Linked DNA regions of Caenorhabditis elegans. The protein of the gene in region 1 interacts with the protein of each later gene in a pairwise test. Each region holds a gene or a part of one and is shown in the gene's direction. Other genes may lie near its edges. The genes, in order: mdf-2 and mdf-1.

What was found.
Region 2: the proteins of mdf-2 (region 1) and mdf-1 interact in a two-hybrid assay, tested with the Caenorhabditis elegans proteins (4 studies listed by BioGRID).

The regions. Positions count from the first base shown.
Region 1 is NC_003282.8:2,635,460-2,643,029, reverse strand, and holds mdf-2 (Mitotic spindle assembly checkpoint protein MAD2A), read left to right. Parts: upstream 1-2,005; 5' UTR 2,006-2,019; coding exon 2,020-2,089; intron 2,090-2,139; coding exon 2,140-2,286; intron 2,287-2,350; coding exon 2,351-2,468; coding exon of another isoform or gene 2,469-2,484; exon of another isoform or gene 2,485-3,332; coding exon 3,333-3,395; intron 3,396-5,343; coding exon 5,344-5,485; intron 5,486-6,408; coding exon 6,409-6,480; 3' UTR 6,481-6,801; downstream 6,802-7,570. Other genes in the region: Chaperone ric-8, read right to left, coding at 1-43; nduv-3 (NADH dehydrogenase [ubiquinone] flavoprotein 3, mitochondrial), read right to left, coding at 1,011-1,162, 1,619-1,718.
Region 2 is NC_003283.11:9,540,989-9,546,007, reverse strand, and holds mdf-1 (uncharacterized protein), read left to right. Parts: upstream 1-1,781; 5' UTR 1,782-1,783; coding exon 1,784-1,988; intron 1,989-2,038; coding exon 2,039-2,599; intron 2,600-2,654; coding exon 2,655-2,923; intron 2,924-2,972; coding exon 2,973-3,847; intron 3,848-3,933; coding exon 3,934-4,063; 3' UTR 4,064-4,226; downstream 4,227-5,019. Other genes in the region: his-41 (putative histone H2B 3), read right to left, coding at 1-80, 295-429; his-35 (Histone H2A), read left to right, coding at 725-874, 1,007-1,240; C50F4.16 (Uridine diphosphate glucose pyrophosphatase NUDT14), read left to right, coding at 4,402-4,597, 4,646-5,019.

The DNA.
Region 1 (7,570 bases):
CGAAAATCGACGCAATCAGGTCGGAATGTAGTTCTTCAGACATGGAATTGCCTGAAAATCATGAAAAATTAATTATTTACGAGAAAAAATGCAATTTCAGGATCGAACAATTCAAAAAATCGCGAATTTTTGTGATGCTAAACAGCACGCGCATGCGGGATTTCGGAGCATCGTTAAAAATTGTTTTAAAAAAAGCGAAAAATTACTTTTTTTCCGAGGTTTTTAATGATTTTTTTTACGGTTTTTGTTGAAAAATAACAGAATTTTAACTGGTTTTCGGAAAAATTTCAGATTTTACTCTCTCCAATCGTATTTATGGCAGAATCAAAGAAACGAGGAGAAAAATAGTGAAAATTCGATTTTTTTTTTTTCACTAGCTTATTCTGAAAAAAAAACCCTTATTATTTGCATCGAAACACCATTTTTGGTCATTTTGAAGTGATTTTTCATTGAAGTAATTGCGAAAAATAATGAAAATCAACAATTTCGATCAAAATTTTGCAATTTTTTCGATTTTTCCCTCGAATCTCTCGAAAATAATGCGATTTTGATTGAAAAAATTAAAAATTCAATGAATATGACATCTGCTTCTCTGAACAAAAGCTAGCGACGCCCATCACCATGGAAACTCGCTGCTAGGTAATCCCTTGTGGCGGCAATCACCGTGGGAACGAGCAGGCATTAAAGAAAAATTGTGCTTCGGCTTATTATTGTGTTAAAATTTATTTTTTTAGGCGGAAAAACAGCAAAAATTCACAAAAAAAATTCGAAAAACCGCCATTTTTTGAGCAATGATAAACAACATGCACGTGCGGAACATCGGAGCATCGTTGTGTTTTTTTCGTTTTTCAACGACTTGTTACTAGATAATTAAGCATGGAAACAGCCATGAAATCAATAAAATTAAAAAATCTATGTAAAAACTCATATTTATACGAAAAATCTACACAAAAAAAATGATAAAATCCACCGAAAACTCTATTTTTCACACAGAAAATGTCGAAAAAAGATTAAGCTCGAACTTTCGGAAGAACGTCGGCCTTCTTGTAGGACGGCTGAACGACACGATCCTTGTTCATGGTGATTTCGGCGTGAGCGTACGAGTATTTGTCGAATTTCAGGTATTCGTCGCATTTGTACAGTGACCAATCGGGTTTTCCGCCTGAAAATTGAGAGATTTTGCGTGGAAATTGGATGGAAATTGGGAAAAACTTGTCTGAAATTCGATTTTTTTTCTAGAAAAATGCACATTTTTCCAGAAAATTAGACTTTTCATAGTTTTTTTTTCTGACAAAAATCGATATTCTGCTCATTTTTAATGTTTAATCAGAATATTTTCGGCTAAAATCGATTTTAACAAGAAAAATGGCGAAAAATCGACATTTTTTGCAGAAACTAGCTTTTTTCAATGAAATTGTAACTAAAAATTTAGCTATTCACAAGTTCTAATGCAAAAAATCAAATATTTCAGTGATTTTACGGGAAACATCGAATTTTCGTGCCATTTCCGCAAAAATTCAACTTTTTCAGCTATTTTTAAGGAATTTTTTGGCTTAAACTTTTTCAATACAATATTATGACGGATTATTATCTAGTTTAGAGTTTCAGAAAGCCATACCAGCGACCTGTCTGGCCTTCTCTGCGTGCTCGATTCCGGTGCTCGTTTTTGGAGCCGCCGACGCCATCCGACGAGCCGAAATAACCATCAAGCGGTTCATTTCTGAAAAAAAAAACTTATTTATCAATTATTTTACCAAAAAATCAATGAAAAAACTGAAAGAAACAATGAAAATCGATGATTTTCGAGATTTTTAATTAATTTCTTTTCCGAGTCGCGAGAAAAATCGATATGTGCCTTGGACGCTTGCTGGCGCGTTTCGTGATGTTTATTGGCGCGTTTCTCGTGCAATTGTTTCGGCGGGAGAATTCGAATCTTAAACTGTTTGCGGCGCGTTTTCGGTCATTTTTCTTCGATTTTTAATCAGTTTTTATCGTTATTTTGCAGGGAATTCATCAGAAATGACGGATGTAAAGACACAAAACGCGATTTCCCTCAAAGGATCTGCCCAACTCGTCAAAGAGTTCTTCCGTACGGTTTTCCCCTGCAAAAATTCGCGATTTTATCGTTTTTTATTTCAGATTTCGGCCTTAACAGCATTCTCTATCAACGTGCGCTTTATCCATCAGACAGTTTCAAGCGTGAGAAGAAGTACGGGCTCACACTGTGGGTGGCTCATGAGAAGAAGCTCCAAGCGTTCATGGATCCACTTTTGCAGCAAGTTGAATGTAATTTTTTTGCGGCGGCGGGGGAAATTCGAATTTCAGCGTTAAAATCATCTGAAGTTTGCAGATTGGCTCGCGAAAAGACAGCTGAAACGGTTGGTGATGGTGATTTCCGAGGTGAAGACGAAGGAAGTCGTGGAAAGATGGCAATTCGATATTCATACAGAGAATTTGGCCGAGGAAGGGTACGAAATCGTTTGAAAACTGGCTCAAAGCTGCAAAATCCGGCGTCAAGCTCAATTTTTTCCGCTAAAACTGGGGAATTTGGCTGAAAAAATCTTCAGAATGGTCATTTTTCCTGTTGAAATTGTTGAAATTGGCCAAGTTTTGCGATTAAAATCTCCTAATTATTGGCGCGTTTTTGAAGTTTTTTAACTGAATTGTCTCAATTTTTAGGTTACTCTCAGCTTTTCCGGAGCAATAAATTGATTTTTTCTTGAGAATTTCTTTAAAAATTGGAAATTTACCGATAGAAGTTACAAATTTTCGCACGTTTTGATTAATTTTCAGCATTTTTTTCGGATTTTTTTGTTTCAAAATTCTCACTGAAACCCACTAATTGCATCACAAACCCCCTCAAAAAGGTGTGATATGTATACATTTCTCATTGTCTCATAATCCCTTTCAACAACAAAAACCTCTTGACTCTCAAGTGCTCCGGCAACCGCCCTATGATGACGCAATAGACATTATACCAAGAGGAGAGTCTTCAGAAGCATAACAGGTGTGCTCAGCCGGAAGCAGAGAGGTCAAGGAGATGCTTAATTTGCAAAAAACTGAAAAAAAAAGCGAAAAAAAAATCGATAAATCGATAAATCCCTGGCCCCCACCGGCATGTCTATGCACTCGCGCCCTCAGTTTTTGGATCCTATGTGGTCTAGTGGTTAGGATTCGTGGTTTTCACCCACGCGGCCCGGTTTCGATTCCCGGCATGGGAAGTTTCTTTTTGTAAGGGCAATTTCAGGGTTTCAGGGCCAATTTTCAACTTTTCTAAGGTCAAATTTCGTAATTTTCATAAATTTTTAGACCTAAATTCCCAATTTTTGCAGAGAAAACGCGCACCGCGTCAAGGAGGAGAAGAAGATTCGGCAGGAGATTAGCGATGTGATTCGGTACGGCTTTCAAAAAGGACAAAAAGAAGAAAAGAACCCCCGAAAATTTGAGAAATTTGATTAGAAATAACCAAAATACAAATTTGTGGCGTCAGGTGGTGTGATGGTGCTCTTATTGGTTGGGAGAATACCATATCTAGGCGACAGACGTGTTTTATTTGACTAATTGGTGGAAGAAGGAAGGAAAGAGATGATCCTCAATTATATTTGTATTATGGGTTTTTAGACGGAAATTATACGCAAAAAAAATGGAGGAAAACGTAAAAGTTTTGAGAATTGACGCAAAAAGTTGGAAAAAAAAAAGTTTTCCAGTGAAATTCGACCAAAAATCGCCGGCAATTAGTGCAATCCAATGTGAAATTCGTCTTCTCCAACAATTTTCTACCCTTAGCACCCAGTTTTTAGGCTTCTAACCCAATTTTTATGAATTTTGGGTTACTGTAGCCCCAGAAGTGCGCAAACACCGGATTTTACGCAATTTTGAGCTAGAAATCTGAAAATTTTAGCCCCCAGAAGCAGAAAATGACGGTGAACCTGAATTTCAGGATGAAAAATTCAGAAAAAATTTCGAGAGTCAGAAAACTCAATTTTTTGAACTGATTCGGAAATTTTTTGGGAAAATCTACTATTTATTGCCATTTTTAGGCCTAAAACATAAATTTTAAGGCTCTAGCTAAATCTAGGAAATTTTTGGGTTATTGTAGCGTCAAAAATACGCAAACACCGACTACAGTAACCCAAAACACTAGATTTTACGCGATTTCGCGCTAAGATGGAGAAAAAGTTTGAATTTGAGCATAAGAAATGAGTTTTTCCCCGAAAATTGTCATTTTTATAAGGTTACTCTACTAGTTTTTATGGCGAAATCCAAATTCCCCACTTTATTTTAGGCCGAAAACTGTTTTTTCCAATCTCCTAGCTCTCTTTTTCAAGATTTTCGGGTTACTGTAGTCTCAAAAGTACGAAAACACCAACTACCGTAGCCCAGAAACACCGGATACTACGCGATTTTAAGCTAAAATAAATGTCTTGAGGTGAAAAGTGTTACAAATTCAGCGTTAAAAATGTAAATAATATAGGAAATTGCATCGGACAAAATTCAAATCTCTGAAAAAATCGATTTTTCCTGAAAAAAAATCACTGCAACTTTTTCCTCACGAGGGACGAGGAAAAGTGGTTTCTAGGCCATGGCCGAGGGGCCGACAAGTTTCAGCGGCCATTTATCTTGCTTTGTTTTGAGCCTGTTTTCTTTCGTTTTTCACAGCTTTTTCCCGTTTTTTTCTTAATAAAACTGATAAATAAATATTTTTTGCAGATGCTGAAACAATTTCCAAGTAAAGAAATCATGTATTCAGTGGGCAAGCAGCGGTGAAAGTGGTCAATGCAATATGATGGATAACGGGAATACAAAACCTAAACTTTTTCTGAAACATGATACATATGATGCTTAAGTGCTGAGACTACCTGATTTTCATAACGAGACCGCTGAAAAAGTTTTGAGGTTTCCAAAATTCAACTTTTTTGGTGAAAAAGTCGAGATTTTCACTAAAAAATTTGAATTTTGAAAACCTCAAAACTTTTTCAGTGGTATCGTTATGAAAATCAGGTAGTTTCAGCATCTAAGCAGCATGTGTATCATTTTTCAGAAAAAGTTTAGGTTTTGTATTCCAGTAATCCATCATATTACACAATGCCCACTTTCACCGCTGCTTGCCCACTGAATACATGATTTTTACTTGGAAATTGTTTTAGCATCTGCAAAAAATATTTATTTATCAGTTTTATTAAGAAAAAACGAAAAAAATCGATGAAAAACGAAAGAAAACAGGCGGAAAACAAAGCAAGATAAATGGCCGCTGAAACTTGTCGGCCCCTCGGCCATGGCCTAGAAACCACTTTTCCTCGTCCCTCGTGAGGAAAAAGTTGTAGTGAAAATCTAAATTTTCAGCCAAATCACCGCATCTGTGTCATTCTTGCCACTGCTCGAGGAGCCTGTCTCGTTCGATGTGCTCATTTACACTGGAAAAGATACTCAAGCACCCGAGGACTGGACTGAAAGCGGAGCCTGTTTGATTCAGAATTCGGAGACTGTAAGTACCGCGAAATTCAAAGATTTTGGGGTTACTGTAACCCCAAAAGTACGCAAACACCGACTACAGTAACCCAAAGTACCAGATTTAACGCGATTTTGAGATAAATCACTGAAAATTCGGAAAAAACGAATTTTTTGTTGAAAATTTCCAGAAAATTGGAATTTTCGCGTACTTTACACATTTTCCACAACAAATTTTATATAAAAATTCGAATTTCTAGAATATTCCAGCTTCTAGCTTAAATTTCAAGCTTTCGGGTTACTGTAGTCCCGAAAGTACGCAAACACCGACTACAGTAATCCAAAGCACCAGATTTTACGCCATTTTCAGCTAGAACTCGGTGATTTCGAATTTAATATTGAAATTTCATTGGAAAAACTGCGCGGAACTCTTAAAAATTCGAATTGTCACAATTTTTATTCGAATTCTCCGCTTTTTTCCCTCCCCTAGAGCTTTTTTTTTGGGAGATTTTGGCGTAATTTCGAATTTTCGGGTTACGGTAGCCCCGAAAGTACGCAAACACCGCCTACCGTCACCCAATACACCGGATTTTACGCCATTTTGAGCTAGAGCTCTGAAAATTGAGATGAAGAGGTGAAAAACGGCGGAGATTTCGAATTTAATATTGAATTTTCATTTTGAAAAATCAGAAATTTTTAAAAATTTGAATTTTCCGAAATTGATACTTTTTTCGTTTTTAAAATTAAATTCTCTGCCACAAAATGCACCTATGGACATCTTTATAGCGCAATTTTGAACATTTCGGGTTACTGTAGCCCCGAAAGTACGCAAACACCGGCTACCGTAACCACACCGAATTTTACGTAATTTTGAGCTAGAGCTCTGAAAATTTAGGGTTAGGGGTAGAAAATCACAGAAAATTCGAATTTGACCCCTCAAAAATTTGATTTTTTTTTCAGGTGCAACTTCGCTCATTCTCGACGTCAGTTCACTCGGTTAACACGAATGTACAGTACAAGGCGGATTTTTAAATTTCCCCCGAATAATTTTTGTCTGTTTTCTCTGCTACCTCTCTTTACTCTTACTCTCTCTCTCTCTGTCTGCCAAAAATTGGCTCAAACTAAAATGTCCAATTTTATTGTTAATTTTTCATTTTTTTCCCCCGAATTTTGTATTTTTTGTTATTTTTTTTTTCAAAGCGATTGTCATCATCTTCATCACCACAAATTCACATAATGATTTTTTTGGCGAAATATCCCCAAAAAATTTGGAATTTTCATCTGCGTTATTGTAAAATTTTCAGCTTTTCTTTTAAAAAACTTTTCAAGAATAAAATGAACAATTTTCGGAAAAAATTGGCATTAGAAAATATAAGAATTAAAAAAATTGAATCAAAAGTTAGCTGGGATTTTTGAAAAAAAAAAAATTAAATTTCCAAAAAAAAAATTTTTTCTCAAAATTTCCAAAAAAAAAATTTTTTTTTCCAAAAAATTTAAAAACTCCCCCTTCCATATTTAAACTGCCGTATAATATCCTTAAACATACATATACTAAATACACCTGTTTTGTTCTCCCTTATGTAATTTGACCCTCTTGGACCGTTTTGCAGGCCTTTTTTGGCGGCCGGTGGGACCGCCGGGAGGGGTATCTTTAGAAGTTGTCAGCAGGGGGTCCCGCCACGATAATTATCAACTTTAAGAAGAGAATTTGAAATTTAGGATAAGTTTTTTAGGGAAAAAAAAAATTTTTTTGTAACTTTTTTTCGCGATTTTTTTTTTTGAAAATTTTTAAAAACTGCCAAATTATATATATATTTTTTTTATTTTGAGTATGCTTTAAAGATGCAGAAAAATCAAAAAAAAATTGGTTGAAAAAAAGGAATTTGGAATTTTTTTTTTTGAGAAATCAAAATTTTTTGATATTTTTGCCAAAATTGTTTAAATTTCCTAATAACTCCAACAACTTAAAAGTTTCAAAATATCAACGCAAAAAAATTAAATGTTCTTCCTTACATCTTCCAAAATTTTCTTCCAAAAAAAGAAGTTTCTTTAAAATTTTGAAAAAAATTGTGATTTTTTGATTTTTTTTTTTTGAATTTTTTGATATTCCTCCTTCGAATAT
Region 2 (5,019 bases), on another chromosome or scaffold:
GCAATTCTCTCGAAGACATCGTTGACAAACGAATTCATGATCGACATAGCCTTGGATGACACACCGGTGTCTGGGTGAACCTGCAAATTATTTAATAATATTTTTGATTTGACAGAATAACTACTTAATATTATTTTGATTTCTATGATCCCCCAAGACTAATTTAAATGATTTTTAAATACCGGTATTATATCGTTGCAGTTCGTACTAAGTGGTACGTAGTTTTAACATACAACATGCTAATGGCTAAAACATTTTTTTATCATAACTTATTCGATTTGAATATATTCTCACCTGCTTTAAAACACGGTAGATGTAGACCGAGTAGGATTCCTTACGAGCATGCTTTCTTTTCTTTCCGTCTTTTGGCTTGCTGACGGTCTTAGCAGCCTTTTTGGCTCCTTTAGCTGATGGTTTTGGTGGGGCCATGATCGAATGAGACACGAAACGAAAATGCGAAACGAATCGATGTGTTTGGCGAGTGTTGTCTATGAGCGCTGCGAAGCGCTTTTATACTCGCCAGCGGTGGCCCCACCTCTCGCTGCCGCGGAACTAGACTCCGCCCACACCGAGAGAAATAGTTAAATAGAGAGGCGGGCGCGTGTGCGCATGCGTATTTTGCATCGATTTTCGTCGGCTTAGACCACTTTTCTGTTTCTCTTTCACCTCCAATTTGCTCATCTAGACTTCTAGTTCATTGTTATTCAACCTAATTTCAGCAAAGATGTCCGGACGTGGAAAGGGAGGAAAAGCTAAGACCGGTGGAAAGGCCAAGTCCCGTTCGTCGAGAGCTGGACTTCAATTCCCAGTTGGTCGTCTTCATCGTATTCTCCGTAAAGGAAACTACGCACAACGTGTTGGAGCAGGAGCACCGGTATGTAGAATTTTAGAGCTGCTGTGTTTTGTGCATTTCCTAGATTAAAAAATCGTTCAAACCTGAACTTGCTAGCATTTTCCAAATTATATCACTTTTGCTCTTGTACTTTTTAAAAACATAATGTTCCAGGTGTACCTCGCAGCAGTTCTGGAGTACCTCGCCGCCGAAGTTCTCGAGTTGGCTGGAAACGCTGCCCGTGACAACAAGAAAACCCGTATTGCACCAAGACATCTCCAACTCGCTGTCCGTAATGACGAGGAATTGAACAAACTGTTGGCTGGAGTCACCATCGCCCAAGGAGGAGTTCTTCCAAACATCCAAGCCGTGCTTCTCCCAAAGAAGACTGCAGGAGACAAAGAATAAGCAGTGTCACAGATGAATATTGCAACTAAAGATACTCCGCCCCGTTAATTTATATGTCATCTGAATGTATTGTTTACTCGGCTGAATTGTAAATGAAATAAATTCATATACTTTGCAGTTATCAGTAAATTATTTTTTAAAATGAAAATAAGAATTTGTTTTAAATACAATTTTTCCAGGTAAGAAACTTCCCAAAATTCGGATTTTTGAAAAAAAAACTATTCGCAAGATCATATTTTCCTATTTTTGCATGTTCTTGTGTCCGAACATGTTTCCGAATGACCAAATAATAATAAAAAATGAGGCTGAAGAATTGCTGGGAAAAGTGTGCGGCAGCATTGCATAATGCCGCGCCCTTGCAAGTGGGCGGGAAGACGTTATTTTTAAGATTTCTTCGCAGTTTGTTTGGTGACATTCGATAAACTGTTTTTGTGCGAATGGATTTGTTTGACTTCCCTTGATTGCATTAAACATATTATTAATCTCTATCTCAAAATTCGAATCGCTCACTGTAATACATTATGTAACTGATTTTTTTCAGACATGAATTACGATGAAGACATTGTCGATGAAGACGAATATGAAGAGTCGGAAGCTACAATGTTGTTCGCTGAAGAAATCAAAAAACAGTTCAAAAGAGAGTTTCCGTTGAAAGCAGAGACAGAAAAAAAGCTGAAGCAGGCAACATTTCGTCGACATGCGCCGGTGGAGGCCAGAAAAATCAATTTCGATATGACACTCTCACCTGGTAAATTAACTTAATCCATTTATTAAAAATGTTTAAAATATTTTATTTAGTGGCTCCAATCGAATTGGCAAGTGCAAAAAAAGAAAAAGAGTCGGCACAGCGTCAATTGGTAACACTCCGTGAAGATCACGAACGTATGAAACAAATGATGCAAACGAATCAAGCGAAGTTGGCTGAAAAAACCATTGATCTGGAGACGAATCGTGAGAAAATGTTGGAGCTGCAAGAGCAAGTCGAACTTCTGAAGCAAGAACGAGATGACACCATCGCAGAGTGTAATCGAAACGTTGATATTTGGACAGCATTCGGCAAAAAATACTACACTTGGTACTCAATGGCGAATACTCAGCTGGAATCTGTGAAATTGTACATAGACAACGACGGAAAGTTTGAAAACGACGAAGAAGTTACACGATTGAATGCAGTTCCAAGACAGATGTACAGGGCTCTTGAACAATTCGATTATGATGATGAAACAGTAGAAGAACTTGGTTCAGGAAGTCTGCTAGAATATGAAGGTGTTTCATTTGCTACCCGTAGACCACCATCTCCTGAAACGGAAAGAGAAATCGCTCGTGCTGATCAATCGGCTGCTAACTTTACTCTACCTCGTAAGTCCGGAATTTTCAAACTTTTGTTTGCAGGCAAATATATTCGTATTTTCAGAATCCAATTTCACACTTCTCGAGGATTCAAATAACACCATAATGCCAGAAGATCAAACAATGATGACTGATGGCTGCATTGCCAATCGATCACTTATTGATTACGAGAAAGATGAGAAAATTCAGCGATTACTACTGGAAAACAGTGTTCTCAAAGATCGTTTGAATGTCTCGAGTGGGCGTGCTGAAAGGTCGATGATTTTCGAAGAACGTAATCGTACTTTAGAGTTTGAGAAGAAAGCTCTCCATAAGCAGTTGGACAGCACATTTGTGAGTGAATAATTATTGTTAAACTAATTTCACGTTTAATTTATTTTAGAGTGAGATTGAAGCTATTCGGATTGGCCAAGCAGGGAACTTGTTCAATATAGACGAGAAAATTCCTTCGAGTTCAGACAATTCCGCTAAGCAACTGCAGCTCATTGACAGAATCACTCAGCTCATTACGAAGAACAATCAGCTCGAAAAAGATTTTGAAGCAGCTACTTCCAGAATGACGAAAGTTATGCGAGAAAGCACAGACTGTGCTCGTCGCAACGAACGACTTGAGGATGCTTTTTCGAGCGAGAGAGTCAGAAGCCAAGACCTTGAAAATGAGAAAAGCCGGCTCTCTGAACAGTTAGAGTTGAGCAACAATGAATTGGAGAAGGTCAAGAAACAGTTGGAAGAATCTCAATCTCAGCTCGATGAAGTTCTCAGCATGACTTTAACTGTCCCAGCTTCAGAACCGGCATCTTTACCTGCTCCAACCGATGCCGGAAATAGTACACAGATTTTCCATATGGCTTCTAATCCACTCCAAGATGCTCACAATGAATTCCAAGCGTCTGAAAGTAGGAAAAGAAAGTTGACAGATGCTCCAGCTGGTGATCAATGGAGAGAGCAAGAGTTTGCTGAATTGGAGAAGCGTCTTTACGACTGCGAAAGTGAGAAAAAAGTACTCGAAAGTAGTTACAATCTTCATAAGGAACTCTCGTCGAAGTTCCGGCAAGTTTGTATTGCTCTGACCGGTCTCCAAATCAAACTGAAAGATGCAGACGAAGGAATATGCACTGTACAAAGCGAATATGAAGGTGGTTCCGCTCAGCAGTTCGTGTTTAAGTATTTCTATGGAACTCCTCGCATCGATATGCTTGATGTCAGCTGTGAATCAACTACTGAAATGCTTCGAAAGTGGGAGCCACTTATGAAAAAGTTTGTTAATTTTCTGGTTACTTACTATTAGAAGTATAAATACTCCCCGTTGTTGTGAGGCATCTTCTTAAAATATGTTTTTTCAGGTACATTGGCGACCGAAATTCGATTCCGGCTTTCTTAGCAGCAATGACTCTTCAGCTGGAACAGGATCGAGATTTTGACGAGACGATGCATGAGAGAACACATACATTCAGTGTCTTACACGAGGACTAAATCATTGAGCTATCTAGATCTCAATTATTTTTCTTCAAAGGAGAAGCTGTTAAATACACTGTTACCTGAATATTTGATGTTTCATTCCATTTTATTTATTTATTTTTTAATCTAAAACGTGTAGTGATCAAAATTAATCACACAATGAACGTTATATTTTCTTTCCAATTCAATGTTTACTATGGTATATTGTTTCGTACAATCTAAAGTTTATCTGCTCGTATATAGGAGAAATACCATTATGAAAATAGGAAAATTGGTTTTTGAACATCCTGTATTTTTCTAAAACGAGTTTGAATGATACCGCAATTAAATGATATAAGAAAATATATTTTCAGATGACAGCGTCAAAAATTAGTGATGTCTCTTTTGTGACTGATTTTGTATCAAAATATCAGAAAGGAATGGAGATGTCTTACACATTGGATGGAAATTCACGTGTTAGTGAATTCAATCAAAAAATGAGCAGTGTATCCATTCTTCTATTTCATAGAGATTTAGAGCAATTTCTTCTAGTTCGTCAATTTCGACCAGGTTTCCAATTTTATTCTATTGAAATGTGAGCGTTAAGTTGTTTTTTAGCAATCTTCACCGCATCAATTTCAAATTCGCCGGAGAATCACGGTAAAGAATTTGATAAAATTGACTGGAGCAGCTATGATTCTGAAACTGGCTACACCATTGAACTTTGTGCTGGACTAATTGACAAGGAAGGATTATCTCCTAGAGAAATTGCATCAGAAGAAGTTGCTGAAGAATGTGGATATCGTGTGGATCCTGATGATCTAATTCATGTAATAACATTTGTTGTGGGTGCTCATCAATCTGGAAGTGCTCAACATTTATATTACGCGGAAATCGACGAATCCATGAAAATCAGCGAAGGAGGTGGAAATGTTCATGAGGGAGAAGTAATTACTAAAGTTTATTACCCTGTCAACGTTGCACGTGAAATT